Linked DNA regions of Macaca mulatta. The protein of the gene in region 4 interacts with the protein of the main gene of each other region in a pairwise test. Links are inferred from orthologs where the notes say so. Each region holds a gene or a part of one and is shown on either strand. Other genes may lie near its edges. The genes, in order: RACK1, HTT, NDN and MKRN2.

Evidence for each region.
Region 1: the proteins of MKRN2 (region 4) and RACK1 interact in binary tests that used the Homo sapiens proteins (3 or more experiments, as listed by UniProt). The two-hybrid records come from large-scale screens. The link is inferred for Macaca mulatta from reciprocal best matches to the Homo sapiens genes MKRN2 and RACK1.
Region 2: the proteins of MKRN2 (region 4) and HTT interact in binary tests that used the Homo sapiens proteins (3 or more experiments, as listed by UniProt). The link is inferred for Macaca mulatta from reciprocal best matches to the Homo sapiens genes MKRN2 and HTT.
Region 3: the proteins of MKRN2 (region 4) and NDN interact in a two-hybrid assay, tested with the Homo sapiens proteins (2 studies listed by BioGRID and IntAct). The link is inferred for Macaca mulatta from reciprocal best matches to the Homo sapiens genes MKRN2 and NDN.

The regions. Positions count from the first base shown.
Region 1 is NC_133411.1:190,284,501-190,288,938, forward strand, and holds the start of RACK1 (small ribosomal subunit protein RACK1), read right to left. Parts: upstream 3,128-4,438; 5' UTR 3,024-3,127; coding exon 2,915-3,023; intron 2,628-2,914; exon of another isoform or gene 2,560-2,627; intron 1,583-2,559; coding exon 1,411-1,582; intron 1,129-1,410; exon of another isoform or gene 1,050-1,128; intron 935-1,049; coding exon 787-934; intron 1-786. UniProt on the Homo sapiens protein: Scaffolding protein involved in the recruitment, assembly and/or regulation of a variety of signaling molecules. Interacts with a wide variety of proteins and plays a role in many cellular processes.
Region 2 is NC_133410.1:3,412,650-3,416,598, reverse strand, and holds part of HTT (huntingtin), read right to left. Parts: intron 2,882-3,949; coding exon 2,767-2,881; intron 2,611-2,766; coding exon 2,397-2,610; intron 2,024-2,396; coding exon 1,918-2,023; intron 1-1,917.
Region 3 is NC_133412.1:6,264,371-6,268,394, reverse strand, and holds NDN (necdin), read right to left. Parts: upstream 2,595-4,024; 5' UTR 2,481-2,594; coding exon 1,515-2,480; 3' UTR 674-1,514; downstream 1-673. UniProt on the Homo sapiens protein: Growth suppressor that facilitates the entry of the cell into cell cycle arrest.
Region 4 is NC_133407.1:151,390,536-151,394,484, reverse strand, and holds part of MKRN2 (E3 ubiquitin-protein ligase makorin-2), read right to left. Parts: coding exon 3,864-3,949; intron 2,793-3,863; coding exon 2,611-2,792; intron 835-2,610; coding exon 530-834; intron 1-529. UniProt on the Homo sapiens protein: E3 ubiquitin ligase catalyzing the covalent attachment of ubiquitin moieties onto substrate proteins.

The DNA.
Region 1 (4,438 bases), on a different chromosome or scaffold from region 4:
GATCGCACACTGCACTCCAGCCTGGGCAACAGGGTGAGACTCCATCTCAAAATAAATAAAAATTTTTATGGATGGGGTCTCACTGTGTTGGCCAGGCTGCTCTCCTGTCCTCAAGCAATCCTCCCACCTTGGCCTACCAGAGCATGAGCCCAGCCAAGACTTTAAAAAGGCAGAGAGCCGGGCACGGTGGCTCACGCCCGTAATCCCAGCACTTTGGGAGGCTGAGGCGGGCAGATCACCTGACGTTGGGAGTTCAAGACCAGCCTGACCAACATGGAGAAACCCCATCTCTACTAAAAATACAAAACCAGGCGTGGTGGCACATGCCTGTAATCCCAGCTACTTGGGAAGCTGAGGTAGAATTGCTTGAACTCGGGAGGCGGAGGTTGTGGTCAGCTGCGGTCACGCCATTGCACCCCAGCCTGGGCAATGAGCAAAACTGTCTTTAAAAAAAAAAAAAAAAAAAGGGTAAAGATATGCAGGCCATGGTGGCTCACGCCTGTAATCCCAGCACTTTGGGAGGCTGAGGCGGGCAGACTGCCTAAGCTCAGTTCGAGACCACCCTGGTGGTGCGCACCTGTAGCACCAGCTACTGTGGAGACTGAGGCACCAGAATCACCTGAGCCTGGGAGGCAGAGGTTGCAGTAAGCTGACACAGCGCCACTGCACTTCAGCCTGGGCGACAGAGTGAGACTGTCTCAAAATAAAAAAAAAAAAAAAAAGTAAAGGTTAAGAGAGTGGGAGAGATCCTTGGAGATGTGCTCTCTGACCATGGCCTCACTTTACCTGGACAGTGTATTTGCACACACCCAGGGTATTCCATAGCTTGATGGTTTTATCTCGAGATCCAGAGACAATCTGCCGGTTGTCAGAGGAGAAGGCCACACTCAGCACATCCTTGGTATGGCCCACAAATCGCCTCGTGGTGGTGCCCCTAAGAGGGAGGACTTTGTCATTCTCAGACTTAACAAACATTCTCATTCAAGGGTCAGACTGATTCCTGGGCCTTGTCTCTGTCTCATTGCATTACTCACACATATATGACAAAGAATCCCTTCAGAATTGCAGGACATGTCCTCACTCCCACATGGGGATTGGCTGACAATGTCATCTGTCATCACCAGGACCCTCTAATTCCACCTGCCAATCACCTCAGCTTTCAAGGTAAAACATGTTCAAACTGCTGCCTACTCAAAACTGTCGCACCTGGTAGATATGTTCAACCACACTCCTCAGCAATCCTGAGTAACTAATTCAAAGCGAGGGAGGCCAAACATCTTCTGTAGGTGCAGTCTGCTTTCCAGTTCCCAAATGGACTGGATCTCCCCTGGGAAACCAGCCAATTGCATCCACCACATTTCTGCCCAGATTTTTTCCCAAGGCCCCAGAGCTAAGTGAGCAGCTACTTGCGTTGTGAGATCCCAGAGGCGCAGGGTTCCATCCCAGGAGCCTGAGAGGGCAAACTGGCCATCTGAGGAGATAACCACATCACTAACAAAGTGGGAGTGACCCCGCAGAGCACGCTGTGGAATTCCATAGTTGGTCTCATCCCTGGTCAGTTTCCACATGATGATGGTCTTATCTAAAAGCGGCCAAACAGAAGAAAAACCAGTGAGGAACCCGCAGCCAGTTTGTTAACACACTGGATAATTCACTAAGTGTCAAGGTCATGAGTGGGTTAACAACTAAGGATGCTTAAGGAGGGATGGAACAACAGACTACAAGAGCAGTTACAGGCCAGGACTGAGTGGCTCTATTCCAGACTAAAAACGCACGCAGAGCTAAACTGTACCGTGATAACTCTTTTTTTTTTTTTTTTTTGAGATGGAGTCTCACTCTGTCACCCAGGCTGGAGTGCAATGGCATGATCTCGGCTCACTGCAACCTCCACCTCCCGTGTTCAAGCAATTCTCCTGCCTCAGCCTCCCTAGTAGCTGGAATTACAGGCCACCCCCAGCACGCCTGGCTTTTTTTTTTTTTTTAAACTAGAGATGGGGTTTCACCATTGGCCAGGCTAGTTTCGAACTCCTGACCTAAGGTGATCCGCCCGCCTCTGCCTCCCAAAGTGCTGGGATTATAGCCGTGAGCCACCGTGCCCGGTCTGTATCCTGAGAACTTAATTTAGGTGCCAGAAATTACAGACACCCTTTCCTGAAACTCAGACGAACTCAACAGCCACCACGTATCTTCTCTGCAACCGAATGCACAGCAGTTCGTGGCTGTAGAGTAGCTGGGGCCTCCCATGCCTCCCATGAGGGCCGACAGAAATGTTATAATGAATGCTGGAAAAGCCACTTTAGGCGCTACAGGATCGGATGCTTTTACTGAAACCTGTCCCACTCAACAATTTTACGATTAACAGCCAGACATGATTCAAGAGTCACACAATTCTTAACAGTGTAGGAGCAAAGGGGAAGCACAACAAGTGTCCAAACGCAGTCAGGCACACAGGGATAGGGACGGGGAGGGGAGACCCAGGGGCAGAAAAAGTAGGACGAGACTTGAGCCACGAGGTCCTCTGGAGTCCACCCGCCTCCCCACGAGCCTTGGGCCGGGCGGCAGCTCAGAAACAGCCTCTGGATTTCAGCACCGACACTCAGATGGCATGTTGGGGTCATCACCGCCCCGCCCGGCCCGTAGGCCCCCGACCACACTACGAAGGGGAAGGCAGAAGATGTTTTAAAAGTTTCCAACTCTCCAACCCTAACAGCCACGAGCCGCTCTACGTCTAGGTCCTCATCTGCAATGTGGTTCGCCCGGGCTGAGGCCTAGGCTCGCGTCCGCACGCCCCAAATCACAGTGAGGCAGAGAAGTTTGTCAGTCCCCGGCAGCGCGCGCGCCACCGGCCTGCCCGAACCACGCGGAATCCCCCAGCCCTGCAATCTCGGGTCCTGAAATCTACCTTAGTCCGTACCTCGAGAGGCGGACAGGATCATGTCCGGGAACTGCGGGGTAGTAGCGATCTGGGTTACCCAGCCGTTGTGGCCCTTGAGGGTGCCACGAAGGGTCATCTGCTCAGTCATGGCGGCGGCGAGCGCGTGTGTCGCTGCAGCGACGAGGATGGCACTGGATGGCTCAGAGAAACGAGCAACACAGCCGCTACCGCCGCCGCCTTGCAGTGAAAGAGAGAAGCCCTCTGCCGGAACCGGAAATACCCACTCGACCAAGTAAAATGGCGAGCCCCATGATACACTTCTGCTCAAGATGGCGGCGCCATGTAATGCAAAAGGCAAAGGGAAATTGCACGGCATCACAGTCCCCACTTCCGTACAACATAATCTGACAGCGCTTTATAAATACATTCTGAAACAAGCACATTCAAGTGTTTAAAAAGGCTTCTCAGGGATGATGTAGAGCGAGAAGCGAAAGAGGTGAAGTGTACGGCACATTCCCATGAGGACTCCCTGGCGGCTTCCCCGCCCCTATGTGGCGTAGCTCGAGCTCCGCCTGTTCCACTTGGTGCGGGGAGGGTTGACGGGGCAACCACAGGAGAGCTTAATTTTCAGTTCACTATCGTGGGTAACGATGGGCAATTTAAAAAAGTATGGCATTAAAATTTTAAAAATAAACTTTAAAACTGTGCTTCCGCGGGACCGTCCTCCCTCAAGAGGTTTTTGTTCTGATGCACACCAACTCCGGAAGGACTTAGTCCAGGCTGGACTAAGGCAGGAGAGGGTTACTCTGGATGTACTAAAAATTGGTCTCTTTTTGCCGGGCGCAGTGGCTCGTGCCTGTAATCATTCCACTTTGGGAGGCCGAGGGGGTGGATCACTTGAGGTCAGGAGTTCGAGACTAGCCTGGCCAACATGATGCAACCTCTTTCCAATAAATAAATAAATAAATAAATAAATAAGTAAAATTAGCCAGGTGTGGTGGCGGGTGCCTGTAATCCCAGCTACTCGGGAGGCTGAGGCAGGAGAATCCCTTGAACCTGGGAGGCAGAAGTTGCAGTGAATCGAGATCCCGCCACTGCACTCCAGCCTGGGCAGTAGAGCGAGACTCCGACTCAAATAAATACATACATACATACAATAAAATAATAAGGTGAAAATTGCCCTGTGTGTTGCTAGACTGCCAATCCATTCCTGCCTAGGTCAGAACACGGGAAGCTCTCGCAGAAACGGAAACGCCCAAAGGAGGACCTTAAAGTTCTGACTTCTGGGGACATCCACTGGAAAGCTCTCTCTGGGCCCAGTCACTGCACACAAAAGCCCAGGCGTCTGGGGGTCCAGTTGCACCCTGAAGGACGTGCCCAGACAGGGAAGCGGTGGAACACGGATACCTAGCTGTCCTTCTGCCTTCCACTCTACCTCAGGAATTTAAACAAGTAATGACTCTCATTCTCTCACATCTGACTATAAGAGTATTGGGCACCGTGTCTCTTCAAGTAGTTTTAAACAGGAGGACATATCAGGATGATAGCAGCCACCAACATCTA
Region 2 (3,949 bases), on a different chromosome or scaffold from region 4:
AAGAGATTTTTTAAAATCCTAACAAAAGAACCCCTTCTCATTATGTTTTTGCTGCTTTCCACATCCAAATGCTCCATAAACATTTCTATGTGTTCTAACACTTTGTAGCACTGTTGTCAACCGGGACTTTTTTCTTGTTACCAAACAGGGCCCCATCTGTGCTCTCGCTGCTTTTTCCCTAACCAGATCCTGAAACACGCCCCCTGAGCAGTATCCTTTTTAGTGCTGAAAAGCAACCATCATGTTCCTGTCTCATCAGTGCACACATGCCAGCTGTGTGTAACTGAGATGCACAGGAAGCAGCCAAGAAACGGCAGTGCACTTTCTCAGAGGTGCTCCTGGCTCTACCCGCCCGCAGACCCTCGCCCAGCAGTGGCATGGCGGCTGCGCTGAAGACAGTGCTCCACGGAGGGAGATCTGTGGTCAGCTCCAAGGTGCCTCCCTGCGGCGTCTGGAGGGCGGTAGAGCGGAAGGCATGCACCACGCTCTCTGGAGCACTCGCCACCTAGCACTGGGTCCACTAGACCACAAGCCCCTTGAAGGCCAGGACTGGTCGTGGCGCCTCCCTGTGTCCGTCTGCCAGCTGTGGTGGTGCTCAGTGAGCATGTGGGAACTGAAGAATGATGCAGAGGTGCGTTTTAAAATCGACATGGGGGCCAGGCACGGTGGCTCACGCCTGCAATCCCAGCACTTTGGGAGGCCGAGGAGGGTGGATCACTTGAGTTCAGAAGTTCGAGACCAGTTCGGCCAACACGGTGAAGCACTGTCTCTACTAAAAACACAAAAATTAGCTGGGCGTGGTGGCACGTGCCTGTAATCCCAGCTACTCGGGAGGCTGAGGCAGGAGAATCGCTTGAACCCGGGAGGTGGAGGTTGCAGTGAGCCGAGATCGCGCCATTGCACTCCAGCCTGGGTGACAAGGGCAAAACTCCATCTCAAAAAAAAAAAAAAACATGAAAACAGACAAGCACAGGCTCAGCTGTTCAGAACACCTCATCTGGCCAAAGAATAGAGCAAAGTCCACCTGAGTATGCTCTTGAGAAAAGCCAAATGGCTCCCCACTGGACACCCTGATTGGAGAGCACAGGCAAGGCAGTGCAACAACGCCCCAGATCCGCCATGTCGCCAGGACTGGGACACCCTGATTGGAGAGCACAGGCAAGGCAGTGCAACAACGCCCCAGATCCGCCATGTCGCCAGGACTGGGACACCCTGATTGGAGAGCACAGGCAAGGCAGCACAACAACGCCCCAGATCCGCCATGTCGCCAGGACTGAGGCCTGAGAGCAATCAGGGAGCCTTGTCCTTAAGAAAAAGCCCTACGAAGCTCCTAACCCACTTCCAGAGCAGGGGAGCGAAGCCAATTCTCAACACCAATTCACGCACAGCAGTGGGGCGGAGGGGTAGCGAGGAGAAGCCACTGACCACACGGGTCTCAAAAGATGCATGTGTGGGTTTCACCTTCCTCCTCCTGCTGCTGCCCCTCACCCTGCTCACAGGCACCATGGACCCCCTCCCACAGACCCCCGTGGGCTCCCCTCTCACGACAGGCAGCCAGGCTGAGCCAACTCCTCATCACTGCGCAGGCTTCTGCCGCACCCTCCCAGAGACTGGTCATTCCTGCCCCCTGCCATACCCCACACGGCCAGGTGCGGTGCCTGAGCCCTCAGGAGAGATGGGCAGGCGCTGGGACAACCTTGGAACTGGTCAACACTACACCTGAGCGCTGGGGTCCAAGGACCACCAGCTCGCCAGTGGAACCCTGAGCCAAGGCAGCCCACGGTCAGGCTGTGGTCAGGAATCACTGGCGGGACTCCAGCAACAGCGCCAGGGGATCAGCCAACACACACAAACGCTCAGCTTCAGGCCAAAATTCTAGGGAAGCTAACGGCTGAGGGATGGGGCTTCGTTTCTTACCTATCAAAAAGAACAGACACCCGCTCCATAGCAACAATCACCGACTCGCTGTCTGGGGCTGCAGGATTAGGGTCTGAAGTTCTACCCGGACTGACTTTCTCCTTTCCTGTAATAAAAGTGTTCAGTACGAAGGTTACATCTATACAACCCAACAGGCTCTGTAGATAGTGCTTTGTACACAGGAGTCCAATGAATCACTGGAGAAGACCTGACAGCAGGTGATGTGAGCCCCTCGCTAGCCCAGGACCCAGCACAGCTCAGCCACATGGGATGAGTGACCAGAGGGGTGGTCAACCCTGACCAGGTACTCCAGCCCTGGGGGCTCCAGAGCCTCTCTTGCAAGGTGATGGGGCCAGCTTGGGGCAACACTAAAAGTGTCAAATCAGAGGACACCTAGTCTAGGTTCCTTGAGCGAGCATGCTCCTGTCTCCCTTGAACAGGACTTGGGCTGGCCTTGCGGGCACTGTGTACATGCTCACCTGTGTACATGCAGGTGAGCATCAAGCCCAGAGCCGCCATGGCCCGGTGCGGGCTGTGCACGTTCACTCTGTCCACACTCAGCTTGACCAGGGATTCTGCATCCAGGCGGGAGAGCTGCTCAGAGAGCAGGAGGCGCTCCAGGCCTCTGAGGGCACAGTGGTAAATGATAGAGGGGGTGGACTCCTCACTTCCGGACAGCATCACCCCACACATCTGCACAGGGAGAAAGGTTTCTGTCGCTGCATGGTCTCAGGTGTTCATGCCTCCTCCCCACCAAGTCAAAACTGGCCCACTGGTATGATCCCGCAAGGAAAAGAGAAGGGAAGCCCACTCCCCGTGTGCAGAGGAAGACAGTCAGGGCCCACTCACCTGTATTATTGATGCTGAAAATTCTGGCCCTACGTCCAGAGGATAGTTCTCAATCAGGTAAAACGCAGTGGCACACATGACCAGTACGTGCTGCTGGCTGTGAATGTTCACGCAGCTGAAAACGGGAGACAGCAGCCAGGCTCAGCCGCCCCCATCCAACGTAGAGAGGGCTTCGCAGCATGCCCAGCCACACGCGGGAGTGAAGAGCTGCGGGCCAGGCTGGCTCCCGGGAGCACCTACCCTGTGTGGCTCCCCAGGCCCCTGTAACCTGGCCTGACCCTTCAGCCTCTGCTCGACCCCTCCCTGGATAGCTGAGCCCGTCTACCTCCTCCACGCCCTGCCCTCTCGGCCTGGCCCAGCCTCCCCTGTGGCCACCTCCATACTGGCCACCACAGACTTCCTCTCTCTGTCCCTCAAAGAGGCCCTGGATTCCCACACCCCAGGCCAGTCCCCTCTACTTCCTGAGTGCCCTGTGCTTTTCCTTCGTGGCACATTCCACCATGACGTGCTGCCTTGTGTGATCCCCCGACAGCACCTGCCTTCCCCATGGCACAATGGGGACCCGGTAGCCAGGGACTGAATGAGTGGCCACTGTGAACAGAGGAGCCAATAAGATGCCCCCCTCCACCCACAGAAATGTGCCCAGTGATGCTTATATCCATCACCACGTGATCCCACCTCTACCTCGGAGGCATGTGACACAGCCCGTGCCCATGGCACTGAGGCCAGCCCCACACACCATTTCTACCTGGATGCCACAAGCTCTCTGCATCCCAAACGCAACTCCTGGGCCACCTCAACTCTCCTTTCCTGAGTCCTCCATGCCCACAGCAAGAGCCATAGACGGCCCAACACGCCAGCACAGCCAGGGCTTTGGCCTGTGCCTGGGGCCTGTTGTGGGGCTGCCCCCCAAAATCACCTCGCTGCACCAACGCATGTGCCTGATTTGCAGGCCTGTGTCCCCCGTGTGACTTGCCCTATGCCAGGCTCCAGGGATGCAGAGACAGTTGCCAGCTGTCCGCCTGTCCTGCGTCCTGCTAGCACAGCACCCACCGCCCAGCAAGGATGACAGACGAGAAGGGCCTCCCCACAAGCTTGTGCCACTCTGGCCTGGATGAGGGCAATGGCCCCTGTTGAGCCACTGTCCCTGCTCCAGGATGTCCCAAATCCTGCCAGACAGCCA
Region 3 (4,024 bases), on a different chromosome or scaffold from region 4:
ATTACCTAGTGGCTCACCGCAACTCAAGGGCTGCGAGGCCCGAGACATCCTGATGGGCAACCCACCTCCCTCTCTTAGGTGTCTTGTGTGTTTGTCAGAGAAAGCACCTTCACCTCCAACCCTCAGGAAAGATTGTTTCCAATCCCAGCTTCACTGCTCAACAGGAATATCACTTTATTAGGTTAATTAATCTCTCCAAAAGTAAGTTTCTTAATTTGCAGAATCAGAATGATATTGCTTTCTCCAAAATATCCTAAGAATTAGAAAAATAAAATTCCTAGCCTTTTTGTATGTGTGGCCCATGAACCCATGTGAGTGTGGGCTCCCACATGAAATTTCAATATAAAGTTAAAAATAAATAACCTAAAAACCACAGGGTGTAGGGGAGTTGAAGGCAGGTGGGGACAAATGTGGACTCTGGATTCATTGTGAGTTCTAGTCCTAGCGCCTTCTCTTATTAACCTGTATGAGCTATGGAAAGTCCATTACCTACATTATTCCTGTGTTTCCTCCATGGTGCAGAGGCAGTTCTTGCCTGCCTGACAGGCCTGTTGTGAGGATTAGATAAAAGGAGAAAAATACACGTCAGGGCTCATGTACAATGTCTCACTCTTTAAGTGCCCACAAAGCATCTATTAATTTTGATAAAATGTAGAAACTTAAGGGAAGGAAATTATTTTTGGTTTTTATTCCCATAGGATGTGATTATGGACAATCTTACTGTTTTGTTTTTTATGCTTTTCTATATTTGTGCATGTTTTTGAAATAAACATGAGTTAAAGACAAAACTACAAACTTCACAAATTTAGGAGTAATCATGAGTAGCGATTTTTCCCACCCCATTAGGGGAAATAGTTATATCTGTGTATACTGTAAAACAGAGAATTGTCTCATTCCCAACCATACTGCTTTGTTAAAATGATAACGTACACTTCCAGAAATGATTGTATCACAAGAATCTTTAATGTTTACTTTAAAGTTGACTCACGGTGGGGTTGTATATGTGTTTAGTAAAGTGTGCCAAGTGCTCTCACATTGAGACCAGTCCAGTTCAAATTAGTTTACTCCACGAGGATGTTTTCAGTCCCCAGCAAGGTCATGAGGGCCTTGACATTTCTTGGTTAGGCCGGCTTTGCTGGTGAGTTTTTCCAAACTCTGCAGGAGCAGTCTACCCCAACACACATCTCAGTCCCATGTAAATTAATAAGATGGAAACGTTCTCAATGTACTTCATCAGTTTAGCACGTCTCTGATACAAAAATCCAAGAAAGGTACCACAAAAGCGAAAGCACCAACCAAGCTTACATATAAACAAACATGCATACATCCTAAATACTACACAATAGTACCCAAATGAACACAACATTGCATTAAAGGTATAAAAGCACTGTACTGAAAACGTAAAAGTTACACGTGAATACTGCACTGTAAATCCTGAACACTCTAATGACCCACCCCCACCCTTCCACAGCCCTGGTGAGGATCAGAAAGCATTCATCTGCCTCCAGACTTGGCTAGTCCTCGGAGACACTGCTGCGAGGGCAGTGGGCAGCGGGATTAGCCTCCCGCAGAGCTCTGGCCTCCTCCAGAGCCTCTCTGTATCGGGAGGGCCAGGCCTGGGGGTCTTTCTTAAAGACCCTGGCCAGGAACTCCATGATTTGCAGCTTGGTGATTTCGCGGCTGGCCCGGGAGCCCCAGAAGAACTCGTACTCGGGCGGCTCCACGTACGGGACGCGCTGGTACTTCAGGTAATTCTGCTGGACGAACTCCTCAGTGATGAGCTTCCGCACGTCCCCGAAGGTGGAGTGCTTCTTCCAGGGCCGCAGCCCCAGGATGCGGAGCACGTTCCAGACCGCGCTCTCTCTGGCGCCGCGGCCCTTCACGTAGATGAGGCTCAGGATCATGAGGAGGAGACCTGTCATGGGCATGCGGTTGCTCAGCGCCACCCTGTCCAGCTCCTCGGGCTCCAGCGCTTTGACCAGCGCAAACTCCATGGTGTGCAGGCTGGTTAGCCTCAGGTGCAGCCCGAACACCCGGGCGAGGATGAGGCTGGTGCGCCGGAGGATGCTCCTGCACCACTTCTTGTAGCTGCCGATGACATCTTTCACCATGTCTGGAAACCAGATGATCATCTTCTTCTGGTCCTTGACCAGCACGTACCACATGAGCTCGTGCGCCTTCTGCACCAGCTGCGCCGGGGCTGGCGGGGCCGGGCCGGGCTGGGCCGCGCTCGGGGCCTGGTGGGCGCGGCCCTCCTCCGCGGCCTGCTGCAGGGCCTTCGGGTCGTCCTCGTCGCTCGGGGCCTGGGGAGGCTGCGCGGCCTGCGGGGCGGCCGTCGGGCCTAAAGGAGGGCTCTGCGGCTCTGCCAGGGTCTCGGACGGAGGAACCCCCTCCGGAACCCCAGGGCTGCTGTGCACCTCGGAGCTGGGGGCCTCGGCTGCAAAGTTAGGGTCGCTTAGATCCTTACTTTGTTCTGACATATCTGCGCCGTCTGGCAAGGGCAGGGCCTCTGCGTCCAGGAGCTCTTCAAGCCTGCGCTCCCTCCGCGGATTCCTGGAGAGGAAGTGCGCGTTGCTGTGCGCGGCGCCTTCCGCAGCGGCGGGCAGGGCGGGGCGGCGGCGGGACGCGGCACTGCGCCTGCGCGACTGCGGCCTTGGCCAGCGGCTGGGGGCGGGCGGGGCAGCGCGGAGCCCCGACGGGGAGGGTCCCTGGCTAAGCTTCACCTGCGGAGAGAGCGATCCCGGGGTTTCCCGTTTGGGCTGAGGGGATCTAGGGCAGGAGAAGAGTGCGATGGATGCGTACTGGAGAAGGGGCCAGTTTAGGAGAAAGATGATAACTTAAGTTTTTGGGATGTTGGGGTCAAGTTTCTTGGGAAACGCTTACCTGATATATCCAGAATTAAGTTAAATATGAGCGTCCCAGAGAAAGGTCTGGGCGGCTGTGTAAACTTGAGCTTTATGCGAACGAGTGAGAGGAACAGTCGGGCTTGTCCAAGAAAATGTGTAAAGTGTATGTCTGAAGTTGGAATCCTGAGAAATTCCAATAAAAAAATGATTGACTCCCTCCCTACCAAATCAGAGGGGTTGTAAGAAAAGGAGAAATGCAGCGTGTCCTTAACGTAATTTCCTGTCAACCCATGTGAACTATGAACCTTTTAAGTAGGCAGCGGACTTAGAGCATCATTAATGCTTTAGTGGGCATAAATTTGAGTTTTACATTTCCTTTGGGTCACTTTGATTCCATTTTATTTTTTTCCATACTTAGTCCACAGCAGAAGGATTGCTATATCTTTTAGCACAAACTTGTATAATAATGTCTTTTTCCCTCTGCCCAGCACCCTTATTCTCCGATTCACCTTCTCCCAGGACCCTCTCTGAAGCTACTGAGTCCTCCACGTTGGAAGCCACACCCAAGTCCTTCCTGAGATTTAAAAAAAAACAACTAGGTCTCATAGGTAATATCTGGTAGTGTCTCTGAGATGACCCAAGGGTAGCAGGGGCAACATGGGTAACCCTGTTTTCTAAGTATAGAAGACAGATTCCCACTGGGCAAAGACAAAACTCGCTCCTACAGGGTCTCCCTGAAAAAAGGGTCATTGGTGGAGCCTCTGAAACCAAGGGCCTTGATGCTGCTTCAGCATCCTTGGTCTGGGCTGATGTGGTCCTTCAGCGCTTCCAGCGTTTCTTCTCATCAGTAGCTTCTTAAATATGTTGAGTCTAATTATTGCCACTCGAAGCCAAAAGCACATTTAAAAATTGTCTTAACATGTCTAGAGTCCTCGCTGTGAGTATGTATCTTTTCCCACTTGTCACTTTATTTTTCCTCAAGCAGGTTGATGTTGAAGGGTTTTCTGTGCTCTCTCTCTTTGGGTTTGCATGCACATAACACTTTTGGCAGAGCCATTCCCACACCAGTCCTTCCAACAGGCTCTTTAGCTTCCCACTTCACCAGGGTAATTCCTAGATATCAGTCTTAGTTGGAATTATTTCAACACTTTTCTCCTTCTCCTCTTCCTCCTCCACCT
Region 4 (3,949 bases):
ATTGGCAAAATAGGCCGGGCATGGTGGCTCATGCCTGTAATCCAAGCACTTTGGGAGGCTGAGGCAGGCGGACCACTTGAGGTCAGGAGTTCGAGACCAGCTTGGCCAATATGGTGAAACCCCTTCTTTCCTAAAAATACAAAAGTAGCCGAGCGTGGTGGTGAGTGCCTGTAATCCCAGCCACTCGGCGGGGCTGAGCCAGGAGGATCACCTGAGCCGGGGAAGCAGAGGTTGCAGTGAGCCGAGATTGCACCACTGTATTCCAGGCTGGGTGACAGGGAGACTCTGTTTCAAAAAAAAAAAAAAGGCAAAATGACTGCAGGAAAAAGAATCTCAAAATAGGATGTAAATATACCAGATGCATAACATAGGTATATTACTGGCAGGGGGATGCCTGTGGAAACACCAACAATTCTGTCAGTATGTTTCGGATTTCTTTTTTTGAGTGTGTATGGATGGCCTTCAGTGTCCTGTTCAGTACGTTTCAGATTTCTTAACATTGAGTTCATGCAAAGGTTTGTGACTTTACCTTTTCGTGAGCCTTCCTCTGCTCTGGGTCGAAGGGGTGCAAGACTCGCAGCCTACAGATTTCACACACCTCCCCATGCAGGTAGACACAGGCATCCCCAAACCGGCACTCCCCAGCAGCTGCGTAGGGGCACAGCTGCTGCTCGTTGCTGTAGGAGCTGCTGGCCTCCACGTCATCAAGGCCACTCCTGATGGCCTCCAGGTAGGAATGCGGCTTCATCTCGGGGCTGGGTTGGGGGTCGCTGCAGCTGCCTGGATTACTCACCATGCTCGGCTGAGTCTTTCCTTCAGCCATGCCAGACAGATCTGAATACAACACACGGCACACACACATGAAAATGGCCCCATTTTTCTGATATGCCATTAACCAAAGCCTAACATATTAAGCTACTCTGACCTAAGAATTCCACCCTTGAGAACATATGGCAAAAAAACAGACCGAAGGGGAAAAATAAAAGGAATAGTATAAAATGTTCATAGTGACATTACTTAAAAAAACAAAAAACAAAAATGGCCAGACAGGGAAATAAGCAAAACAATAGGATACACTTACACAAAAGAACACTAAAGCTGCTGTTTAAAATGGCAAATATGGAAATGTTAACACATGGACCAGTTAACACTAAAACAAACAAAAAAGTGAGATCACTAGAACACAGTGTTTCCTTCATACCAGCAAAGTTACCAATCATTTTAAGTGAACTAGAATAGATGTCTACAGCAAATCTGTGGGTCCTGAGGCCAGAGTAAACTGTCCCATGGTGAACCCTTCTCACGCCAGGAGCTGCTGCCTTCCCACTGCACACCTCCGAGCTTGTTTACAGGTCATGTATTCTCACAGGACTACTCATTTGCTGAGGATGGAATCTGCCTACCTCACGGTACCCAATTCCAAGAACTAGAAATCTCTTCACCTGGTGCGGACCAGCCAATAAAAACAACTTTTACGGCCGGGTGCAGTGGCTCTTGCCTGTAATCCCAGCACTTTGGGAGGCTGAGGCGGGTGGATTATGAGATCAGGAGTTCGAGACCAGCCTGACTAACATAGCGAAACCCTGTCTCTACTAAAAATACAAAAATTAGCTGGGCATGGTGGTGGGCACCTGTAATCCCAGCTACTCGGAAGGCTGAGGCAGAAGAATCCCTTGAACCTGGGAGGCGGAGATCATGCCACTGCACTGCAGCCTAGGTGACAGAGTGAGACTCCGTCTCAAAAAAACAAAACACACAAAAAAACAAAAAAACTTTTACAATTTGTAGCTTTCTTCCTCATCAAACCCCGTTTTAAGGCACAGACCATGTCCCAAACCCTAGTGTGCTATTCTGTTCCCAAAGGTGCAATCTAAAATGTCACACACTGTCAGCATAAAAACTAAGACCATTCACTGGCCTAAAAGTCAAACAGTGAAACATGCTCTTTAGCAAAATATTTAGTTTTGTTTTTTTTTTTTGAGAGGGAGTCTCACTCTTGTCACCCAGGTTGGAGTGCAGTGGCATGATCTCAGCTCACTACAACCTCTGCCTCCCGGGTTCAAGAAATTCTCCTGCCTCAGTCTCCCAAGTAGCTGGGATTACAGACGTCTGCCACTACGCCCGGCTAATTTTTGCATTTTTAGTAGAGACGGGGTTTCTACTAAACCATGTTGGCCAGGCTGGTCTCGAACTCCTGACCTCAGGTGATCTGCCCACCTCAGTCTCCCAAAGTGTTCGGGTTACAGGTGTGAGCCACTGTACCCAGACAAAATATTTAGGTTTGAAATGAAGAGCTTGATGCTTCTCACCAACTGGACAACCACCATATGAAGATGGAAGTTACATGCTGACAAAAAGATTGCGTTTTTATGTTTTGCCAGGTCAGTCTTGGAGCTCAACCCAGCCTTTGGGCACGAGGGCAAACGTATCATTTGAATGATCTACAGCCACATGGAGCCTCTTCAGAAAGTTCTGAAGTCTCTCCACGCGGACAACCTGGAGGTGTATTAGGTTAGGAGTCCTCTTGACAAGAGGAGGCTAGAAAGGAGCACCAAGCATAAGCAAGAGTGCTATGCAAAAAGAAGCAACAAAAGGCTTCCGCTTACTCACTTCGGTCTCTAAGAACCAACGTTCTCTTTTCACGCTTCCCGGGTTCATGTGAGTTAGTTTTCACAATGGACGCAGTGACCTCAGAAGAAGGGTGAGGATTGTGGAAAGCTGGGGAGGGCACACTGTGGGCCATGGTGCCGACAGCACCTCCAGCTGCAGCAGAGGGCCTCGTGTGGTCATATCTAAACAAAACACATAGCAGATGCATTACAGACATGCCATCCACACACATCCCCACACTCCCCAGATGCCAATGGCCCTCCTGCTGCTGCACTTGTTGAGGTGAAGAAAGCAGCCATCTTTTCCAATATTTAAACTCTAACAGGATTATTGATTAACAGATGCTTGGCAATTCAGTGTGAGGGGGACATTTGCTATCTATCACCTATGCTTAAGTGTCTCTGTGGGACTTGAGTGGGACAGACACACAGCTCCAGACCACACAGAGAGCCTGAAAGTTCCAAACAGATGTTGAGCTGAAATCTCCTGATGCCTGACTGACCCAGTATTCTTTTGAGCAGGAGTCCCCAAAATGCTGACAAGGGCCAATGACCTCTCCCTGACTGTCTCTCTCGGCACTCATTGGCAGGGGGAGACCAAGGTGGGCCTACTTCCATCATCTCCCACTGCACTGCATAGAAAATGGAGGAAAGGAAGCTTTGCAGCCTAGGAAAGAAAAGATCAGCTCTGCACTACAAAAGCACAAACAAGTTTCTGGAATTGTGTACAATTTTATAACTATATATTCATAAGAATAAGGCTGAAAAGTAGTTTTAAAAAATGAAAATTAGACCGGGCACGGTGGCTCACACCTGTAATCCCAGCACTTTGGGAAGCCAAGGCAGGCAGATCATGAGGTCTGGAGTTAAGACCAGCCTGACCAACATGGTGAAACCCCGTCTCTACTAAAAATACAAAAAAAAAATCAGCCAGGTGTAGTGGCAGGTGCCTGTGATATCAGCTACTCGGGAGGCTGAGGCAGGAGAACTGCTTGAACCCTGGAGGCGGAGGTTGCAGAGAGCCAAGACTGCGCCACTGCCCTCCAGCCTGGGCAACAGTGCAAGACTCCATCTCAAAAAAAAAAAAAAAAAAAGAAAATTAGTTTTAGGGTACTGAAACTGAGGTTTTAAATTTATTTGCCATACTTTCTGTAATGTTGTCATATTACTTTTACATTAAAACTTCCCCCTTATCAAGACCCATTCTCCAAACGAAATCAGTGTCACAGCTGGAGCCTGTCACAGAGTCCTTGCCTGCACCGAGTTCCATAGGCACAGTAGCCCTTCTGGTAGTACTTGCAGATGGTGGACGGCTTGCTGTTTGCCAAGTCATGTGAGAA